Canis lupus familiaris: one gene and its partner. The protein of the gene in region 1 purifies or fractionates together with the protein of each later gene. This does not show direct contact. Links are inferred from orthologs where the notes say so. Each region holds a gene or a part of one and is shown in the gene's direction. Other genes may lie near its edges.

What was found.
Region 2: the proteins of POC1A (region 1) and NUDC purify together in Homo sapiens (co-immunoprecipitation; 3 studies listed by BioGRID and IntAct, with this or other methods). This does not show direct contact. The link is inferred for Canis lupus familiaris from reciprocal best matches to the Homo sapiens genes POC1A and NUDC.

The regions. Positions count from the first base shown.
Region 1 is NC_049241.1:38,006,348-38,010,262, forward strand, and holds part of POC1A (POC1 centriolar protein homolog A), read left to right. Parts: intron 1-590; coding exon 591-706; intron 707-3,915.
Region 2 is NC_049223.1:72,616,056-72,620,768, reverse strand, and holds the start of NUDC (nuclear migration protein nudC), read left to right. Parts: upstream 1-1,584; 5' UTR 1,585-1,716; coding exon 1,717-1,797; intron 1,798-3,900; coding exon 3,901-3,978; intron 3,979-4,713. UniProt on the Homo sapiens protein: Plays a role in neurogenesis and neuronal migration. Necessary for correct formation of mitotic spindles and chromosome separation during mitosis. Necessary for cytokinesis and cell proliferation.

The DNA.
Region 1 (3,915 bases):
GCTTGTCAGGTTCTTGTAAGTTCTTGGTGGCTGTTCACACTGTGCTGCATCATCAGGAGAGGGAGGAGCCTGCATTAGAGCAGGGCCTCACCTGTTCTGGTCTCCTCAATGAACCTCAACTTCTGCCCTCCTCAGGTAGGCGGGAGCCCCAGGGAAAGGCGTCTCCTAAGAGCTGGCCATGGTGCCAGCCTGGGTGTCACCCTTGGCCTGTCTCCTGCAGATGGGTCAACCAGTGGCCTTGGGGTCCCACTGGCCCTTTGGGGCCAGGCCTCATCGCTTTGATGAGGGCCCTTGCTCTGACTCTGAACAGCCTGAGCTGTCAGCTGTCGTTTAGGCTGAAGACCCCTTTCTCTACTTGTATTTAGAGGTGGACGCTGGGATTCGGTCCCTGATGAGTCCACCTCCGGTCACTGTTAGCCACTGTTTTTGCCCTCTCTCTGCTGTCCCTTGGCCACCTGGTAAAGAAAAAGGGCAGAAGGGAGATATTTTGGGTTTGGGGAACAGCTTGAGCAGATGTGCAGGGATGGGAAAGGGGGGTCTGTTCTGGGCCAGGACAGTCCTACAGCATGCGGCGGCCCCTGCCTTTCCAGCTTTGTCACCTACGTGGACTTCCACCCCAGTGGCACGTGCATCGCCGCTGCCAGCATGGACAACACAGTGAAGGTGTGGGACGTGCGGACGCACCGCCTCTTGCAGCACTACCAGCGTGAGTGTCCCTGAGCAGCCACAGCATGACGGTGCGGAACCTGGCGTCAGGCTTGTGGCCATCATGCTGAAGCAGGCCTGAGGACGGCCCTGGTCAGTGGGGAGGAGTCCTGGGCCCATTGGGATCTCCAGGGGTCAACTCAGGTTGGAGACCAGAATCAGGAAGCAGCCCTGGGGCCATGTCCCCTGAGAATTATAGCCCTCAGAGGTGCAGAACAGCGAGCAGTCAACATAGGCCATCTTAGGCTCCTGCTGGGAGGTAGGGTAGGGACGGACCGGGTGTGATTAGGGTGAGCTGGAAGGTGCTGGAGTGTGGAACTTGAGAGCAGGTGTGACTGGGCAGGGCTGTGAGTCACCTTGGCCGTGGGGATGGGGAAGGGAAGGGAGGTGGTGATCTGCCACAGGAGGAACTAGGAGTGGGGCCAGGGGCAATATGGTGGGCAGGCCTGTGGGCCTGGGGCTAAGACCAGGTTGGGGTAGAGCTGGAGTTGTTGGAAAAACTGTGGTTATTGTCTTGGGACAAGATTTAAAGTCCATGGGCTACATCCAGAATTCACCCCTGAAATGGAAAGGATGCGTCTGGACAAAGGTGTTGGGCTTGGGGTTCAGCTTTCCCTTGCATCCCCTCCTAGCTGATTCTCAGCTGTTGAGGACAGCACTTCCTTGAGGTAACTGAGGCTAGCAGACCTCCCATGTTGAGGGAGAGGCTCTTGGTCTTAAAAAGCATTTGGCGGAGGGTGGGCTTTGCAACCAGCCTCAGTATTTGGAGTTGTGGGACGTTGGGCAGGGCATTTGACTCCTTTGGGCCCCCTGGGACAGTGATAGGGCCTCCTTCACAGGTGGTGTTGGGAGGGTAATGAGTTAGTCTCTGCCAAGAACTTAGAGAGTGCCAGGCACAAAACAGGAACCAAGTAAGGGGTTCAGATGCCCGTGTTGCCAAGTCTGGGTCCGGAGATCCTGGAGTAGGGAGTCTGGCCTGCATTGCCCTACACCACCACCAGGTGGCAGAGGCTAGCCACTCTTCCTTAACAGAAAGCCCTGGGGCTTGTCGTAGCTGCAGCTGTTGCAGACAGACCTTCTAGAACAGAGTAGCTATGGGGTCTACCCTCTACTTGGAAACCACAGCTTTCCTTCCCTCCTTCAGGCTTAGAGGCCTCTCTTCTCTGGGCCAGGCCTGGGTTGGAGTTGGCGCACATCTGCAGCGGTTGACTGGGGGAGGGTTGGCAGGTATGGAGGAGTGCCGGGGCGGGAAGGTGCCTCTGAGTGTGGGGTCAGGAGTATTGGGAGGGGGAGGTGACGAGGCCAGGCAGGTTAGGAGTATAGGCTGTTTCCTGTCTGTAAAGGGTGATAATAGTACCTCATGGGATTTGTGAAGATGTGTTGGGGGAGTCTACATGATGATTATAATACAGTACTAGAAATGTGGTTAGTACCACATAAATCTTTCTCTTCTAATTTGTATTATTATTATTATTTTTTTCATCACATAAGTCTTGACACTGAGGGGAGAGGATCTCTAGGTGGCCATGGGAGAGTCCAGCCTCACCTCTGATGGATCAGGAGCATGGGTCTGGGTTTGTGGCATGCACCAGTAGGAACCCATTGGGGAGGGCGTTGAATGCCATACTCTGGCCCATGGTCCAAAAGATGCAGCCTGGCTGGCAGTGCTGGGACTGGTCCCATTGCTCGAAGAGCAAAGGTATGTCTGAAAGGACATACAGAGCCTGCCTGGGTGGGAAACTGGTGTGCTTGGGCGACTGGTGGGTGGGCTACTTATGCCCCATGTCTGAGTGAGAGGAGGGCATCCAAGTAGGGCAGGGATCAGGTCCAAGGGTTAGGTTTTGGAGATTGAGAGAGTCAGTAGGTGACATTACGGGTTGAGGGTCCCGCTGGGCCCAGAAATCTGGGCCTTGAGAAGGGCTGAGGCCATATCATGGGTCCCTATGATTGAGGGGCCATGGAGGGAAAGGTCTACAAAGCAGCCAGAGTGAAGGATGGAAAAGGGCTGAGAGGGCAGGACCAGAGGCATAAAGAAAAGCAGAGTCTCCTGAAGAGGGTGATCAGGAGGTAGAGTGATACAGAGCAGTTGAGAAGGGTGGCAGGTGCTGGAGAGAGGTCCCTGGAGTTCTTGAGGGGGCAGGCTTGGCAGTGGGTGGGCCGGGGAGTCAGTGACTGGAGGGGCTGGGGATGTGGTGAGGGGGCTCAGGTGGCATCAGGAGCCAAATCCTGAGAGGACCCGGGGTACATGAGGCTTACAGGCTCTCTGCAGAGAGATTTCAGTGTGTTTTTGCTATTGTCCTTTGCTCTTATGACAGACCTACTCTGTCTTGTTCCTAAGCCACCTGAATACATATCAGAGGCCTTGAGTGGCTTGGAGTACCCTGTAAACAACTGAGTTTCCTTAGCTCCCTGCCCAATACATGGTGCACAGGGCAGCAAACTCATCCCACTGCCTCTAAACTCACCCTCTGGAGCTCAAGGAGAGCCACGTGGATCTGAGGATGCTGTTGGGGGACATACCCCTCACACTTTATGCTGTTTGAGGGACCTGGCCAGGTCTGCTCAGGTCTACTGGCACCTCTTAGGAGCTGCGTGGCCGAACCTTCGACCTTAGAGGCTCTCACTAGCCCCTTAGTAGCAGCTGCTCTCTCATCCTCAGGGGTACAGGGGCATCTCTTTGGAGGCTGATTCTCCAGAAGGACTCCTGGCACTCTGACAGCAGACACGAGCTGAGCTGTTTTTCACCCCTGATCCTTAGGAAACCCAGAGGAAAGTTTTTAAGAACACAGACATCCCCTATCTCCCTTGGTGACTCTGGATGAGTACCAGGCACTCCTGGTGGGCCTTGGGCACATGAGGTTGTTGGGCTTTTCCAAGACCTTTTGATTCTTGATGCTACAGTGTGTGGTCAGCATTCCCAGCCCGCCTGTGTCCAGCTGCCCCAGGGTTGTGCCTCGTGGAGGATACTTCCTGTCCCGTGCTGGGTTGTTGGAAGTTAATTTGGGCAACAGCAGGCAGCTGGTACCGTTTGTCTCAGGCAAGGAGTTTCTTGGCTCTGGTCTGTCACTGTGGGGAGCAATTCTGGTTTCCCAATTCAGCAAGGAGATGGTGGGGCTGTTGGAGCCCTGGGAGTGCCGGTCCCCACGGAGGTGGGTTAGGCTCCATATGCTCTGAGCCCACAGTAAGGCTGTTCACACATCTGAGCAGCAA
Region 2 (4,713 bases), on another chromosome or scaffold:
GACACTCTTTCATATGGGATTAGGGCCCCACATGCTTATGAATTAATTTCACCTTAATTACCTCTTTAAATGGCTCTTGGTCCAAAACGTCACATTGGGGGCTTCAACATATGAATTTCGGGGAACACAATTCCATCCAGATCAGAAGCCTAAAGAAAAAAAAAGTGTGTCTAGAAGAAGGGGCAAACTGTGTCAAATGCTGCTGAGAAGCTGAGGAAGATAATGGGGCATCCGGGTGGCTCAGTGGTTGAGTGTCTGTCTGTCTTTGGCTCAGGTGGTGATCCCTAGGTCCTGGGATCCAGTCCCACGTCAGGCTCCCCACAGGGAGCCTGATTCTCCCTCTACCTCTCTCTCTCTGTGTCTCTCATGAGTAAATAAATAAAATCTTAAGAAAAAAAAAAGAAGTTGAGGAAGATAATTGTGGTTCATGCGCTTTGGCATAAAAAAGTCATTGTACCCTTTGCTAGAGTCTTTTCAGAAAAGGAAAGATGTTAGGTAACAAAGTGGAGACATGTAATCTTTTCAAGTTTTGCTGTGAGAACTGAAAACCGGCGTGGTAGGAGGAGAAAAGCAGGGGTCACAGAATAATAAAAAAAGAAATAAGGGACATTAGAACAGCTTTGCAAATTGAAGGGAATGATCCAGAAGAAAGAAATCTGTGATGTAGGAAATTAAAAAAAGGATAAGGGGCGTGTCCCTGGGTGGCTCAGCGGTTTGGCGCTGCCTTCAGCCTAGGGTGTGATCCTGGAATCCCGGAATCGGGTCCCACATCGTGCTCCCTGCATGGGGCCTGCTTCTCCTTCTGCCTGTGTCTCTGCAGCTCTGTGTGTCTCTCATGGATAAATAAATATTTAAAAAAAAAAAGGATAATAACGAGGCTAGAATCCCTGAAAAGACTAAGATGATGAAATTCACTGCAAAAGTGGAGGGGTTGGCCATCTTTAGATGGCTGGGTTGTGTCCCCCACTAACGGGAGTGAAGGTGGAATACAGCAACCATTATGTAATTTGCAGAGCCCAGTACAAAACGTGCTGTTTCTTGTTCAAAAATTTAGATTTTCAGGACTGCATCAGAAGAACATTAAAGCCAAGCACGGAGCCCTTCCAAGACGGACGCCCGCGCGACCGTACGGTTTGTAATCCCACGAAGCTGGTTCTGGCGAGTATGCTGTGACGACGGAGGTAGGCTGTCCTTTGGGCCAGCCCCGGCTCCCTTCTGGGCCTGCACTGCCTCATGGTAGCGCTGGAGAAGAAGACGAGGGACACGTTCAGCCCCGCCCTTCTACAGGCTGGTAAGTCACTCTCAAGGAGGAGGCGCAGAGTTTGTCCCTTTTTAACTTCGAACCCGCCAGATTTGTAGCTCAGGGTTTTCTGGAAGGCTCCAAAGCATCTGGTGACCATAGCAACTCACGCCAAACTCCGGATCCCTTAGCTCCGCCCACCGCTTCCTGAACGGGTCCGTCGATTGGCTCAGCGGGCGGACCAATCGTGGGAGACGCGGGCTGTTTGCCGCGCGGTCAATGGTCGCGGGCCAGGAGGGAGGCGGGAAGAGAGGGCGGGAGGGCGGGACCGGCCGCGCGGCGCGTGCGTGTTTCCGGCTCCGCTGCGGAAGGCGGACGGCTGGAGCGGTTGGGCCGGACGCGACTCTAAGGAGCCGGGAGAACGCGGGACGCGAGCGCGGAGCTGGGCCCTCGGAGTGTGGCGAGAGGCCGGCGCGATGGGCGGAGAGCAGGAGGAGGAGCGGTTCGACGGCATGTTGCTGGCCATGGCGCAGCAGCACGAGGGCGGCGTGCAGGAGGTAACGGCCCGCGCGGCGTCGGCCTGGCCTGCTCCTACGGCGCTCGCCCGCCCGCGCGGCGCTGGCACGCTCCCTCCGCTTCCCTACCCTCGGGGGCCGAGATCCACCTCTGGGCCTCGCGGGTTCCTGGGATCCGCCTCCATCTCTGCGCGCCCCCAGCTTCCGGTCTGGCCTCCCCGCCGCCCTTAAGGCCTCAGTCGTTTCTGTGCTGGGCCCCCCGGCGCCACTCAGGAGTTCCTGTCTTAGCAACTCCTGCGTCTCCGAACGCGGCCCTGGAAAACCCGCAGCGCCCCCCTTATCCCGTCCCCCCCGCTCTCACACATGCTTCCGGCCTCGTATCCCTACTGATGGCCGCCCCCGAAGAGCAGTTCTTAGGATGAACCATCCCAGACTTTGGCATTTGCATCTACCAAGACCTGGACCGAGCTGACGAATGCTTGTGGGGGGGTGCGGGGGTGGGGCGGGGCGGAGTGATGTTAACACGTGGTCCTTTCAGGCCTAGAATGGGGAATAGGAAGCCTGGGTTCACCATTTATCTCCACCACCTACCAGTAAGGGGCCTTTCCATATCAGCAAGCCTCAGTTCCTTTTGTCTTTGAGGCAGCCACAAGTCTCTTCTGAGTAGTGAGGAGAGTAGTGTCTTGAAGTAAAGGACAGTAAGGAATTCACAATAAGCAGGTTTGTTCATTCAACAAATATTTGTTGAGTGATGTGTGTCAGATGCTCACCGGATTGGGTCCTGGGTGTATATGTGAGCAGAAGTCTATCCTTGCCCTGATGGAGCTTGGAAAGGCCCTTTCAAAAGCACAGTTCATGCGTACTGACCACACATAACACAAAGACGTACTGGTATAGATGCTGGAGTTGGTGTTTTGGACCAAAACCATGGAAAGTTAGAAGTAGAAAAGCCTATCAGGATCAGTTCCAAAACTCTAATTCTGAAGAGAAACTGAAGGAACTTGCCTCAGATCACCCAGCAGGTTCCTGAATTAGGACCAGATTCCTTAGGCCAGTGTGCTGGTTCTGTGTCTCACTGGGAGCAAGTTTTCTTTGAGCTTTCCATTCCCATTCTTTTAGCTGGGCACCGGTGGAGACCAAGGACTCTCAAGCCCTTTGAGGTGGGAAGAGTTACTACTTTGCTTTTGTGTAAAGTTTCCCTCTCCCATCCTCCTAAATTGTTGATCCCAAATAGGATTCGGAGTGAGTTCATTTTTGAATGAATCAAAAAATTATCTAGAAGTAGAAACTCAAACCATGAAGATAAAGTCTAGCATCAGAGTTAGAACCACTCATTTGGGCAAGTAAAAGGGCTTGTATATGCTAACTCTAGAACACCACTAGATCATTTCATTCAGCAGAAGATTTACTGAGCATATACACTGAGCCAGATCTGATGCCAGGCTTTGGGGATGTAGACAGAATAAGCCACAATTCATGGTACCTATGTGTGAATCGTTCACTCTGGCAGGAGGTCTCTTGCTCTGGGCCAGACATTGCTAAGGCCCTCACCTCCATTATCTCATTTAATTCTCACAAGATCCCTAGAAATAGGCTGGCTGCTATTTCTCTTTTAGAGTTAAGAAACTTCCCTAAGGTGACAGCTAATATATTATCAGTCTGATAATCAAACCCATGTGCTTAATTAACCACTTGGATACTTTACTGTACCAGCCAGAGTTAGTTGGTTTTAACCTTTGAAGTGGCTCCCCTCTTTCTGGCTCTGCCCTAGTAACTCAGCCATTGCCAGTCTGGATGGACTTTTCACTGTCTGGAAGGAAAGCTGGGCCTAGGTGTTTTAAGCCCTGGTTGCAGAGGAGTGTTCTGTATCTTTAGGCTGTTTCTAGAGCCACAAGGAATGTGAAACACAGGCACACATACACAGGAGATGGAAATCTGCCTTTCAGGCCACCTAAATCAGGTTAGGTTAGGCCTCCTAGTGGAGGTGACTAAAGTAGAGCCTGCTGGGGAGCCTGTCTTGTCCAATGAGAGGCTTAGGAGGAAACTACCAAGTTTCTGACTCCCTCCTGGACTAGGATCTGGTTTCTGGGCAGCTGAGGGCTCCCTGGGGGCATCTCCACAGCTTCAGTCTTCTCTGTTTTCCAGCTTGTGAACACTTTCTTCAGCTTCCTTCGACGCAAAACAGATTTTTTTGTTGGAGGAGAAGAGGGGATGGCAGAGAAGGTGAGTGTTGGGGCCTGCTGTCCCTTTGGAACCTGTTTCTTCATAAGGAAAGCACATGTAATCTTCCTTTGGCATTATAACAACCTTCAGTAAAAGTAAAATGCCAAGGGTAAAGAGTCAGGGAAAGGAAGCAAGCTGTCATGTATTGAAGCCCCTCTCCTTGCCAGGTACTTTATCTACTCCTATTTCCTGTGATCCTTTAGCAGCTTGAGAAGGCCAGGTGTTACTATTCCCATTTTGCAAATGAAATTGGCTCAAGGGGTGTTTGGCACTTTGTCCAAAGTCCTTTTTTTTTTTTAAGCTTTATTATTTGAGAGAGCGAGAGAGGGCGAGAGCATGTGCATTCATGCATGCACATGAGCTGGGTAGGAAGGGTAGAGGGAAAGGGAGTCTTGAGCAGAATGTGGAGCTTGACTTGACGCCAGGTTTGATCTCACAACCCTGAGATCACAACCTGAGCTGAAACCAAGAGTGGATACTTAACCAACTGTGCCACTCAGGGAGTAGGATTTTGTGTAAGATCTTGAGCTGAATTGTAGAAGAACCAGGGTTCAAACCAGAGTCTGTTGTCAAACTACCTTCTGCCCGACACCATGCTTCCTGGTTCCTTTTCCATTGAGGAAGTTTTATCTAATTACCTAGCTGGAGATGAGAGTGGAAATTGAGAGTGGAAATACAGGAAAACTTAAAATCATTTAATCCCAGTCTTCCCAGATACTGTGACCCAAAGTTCAT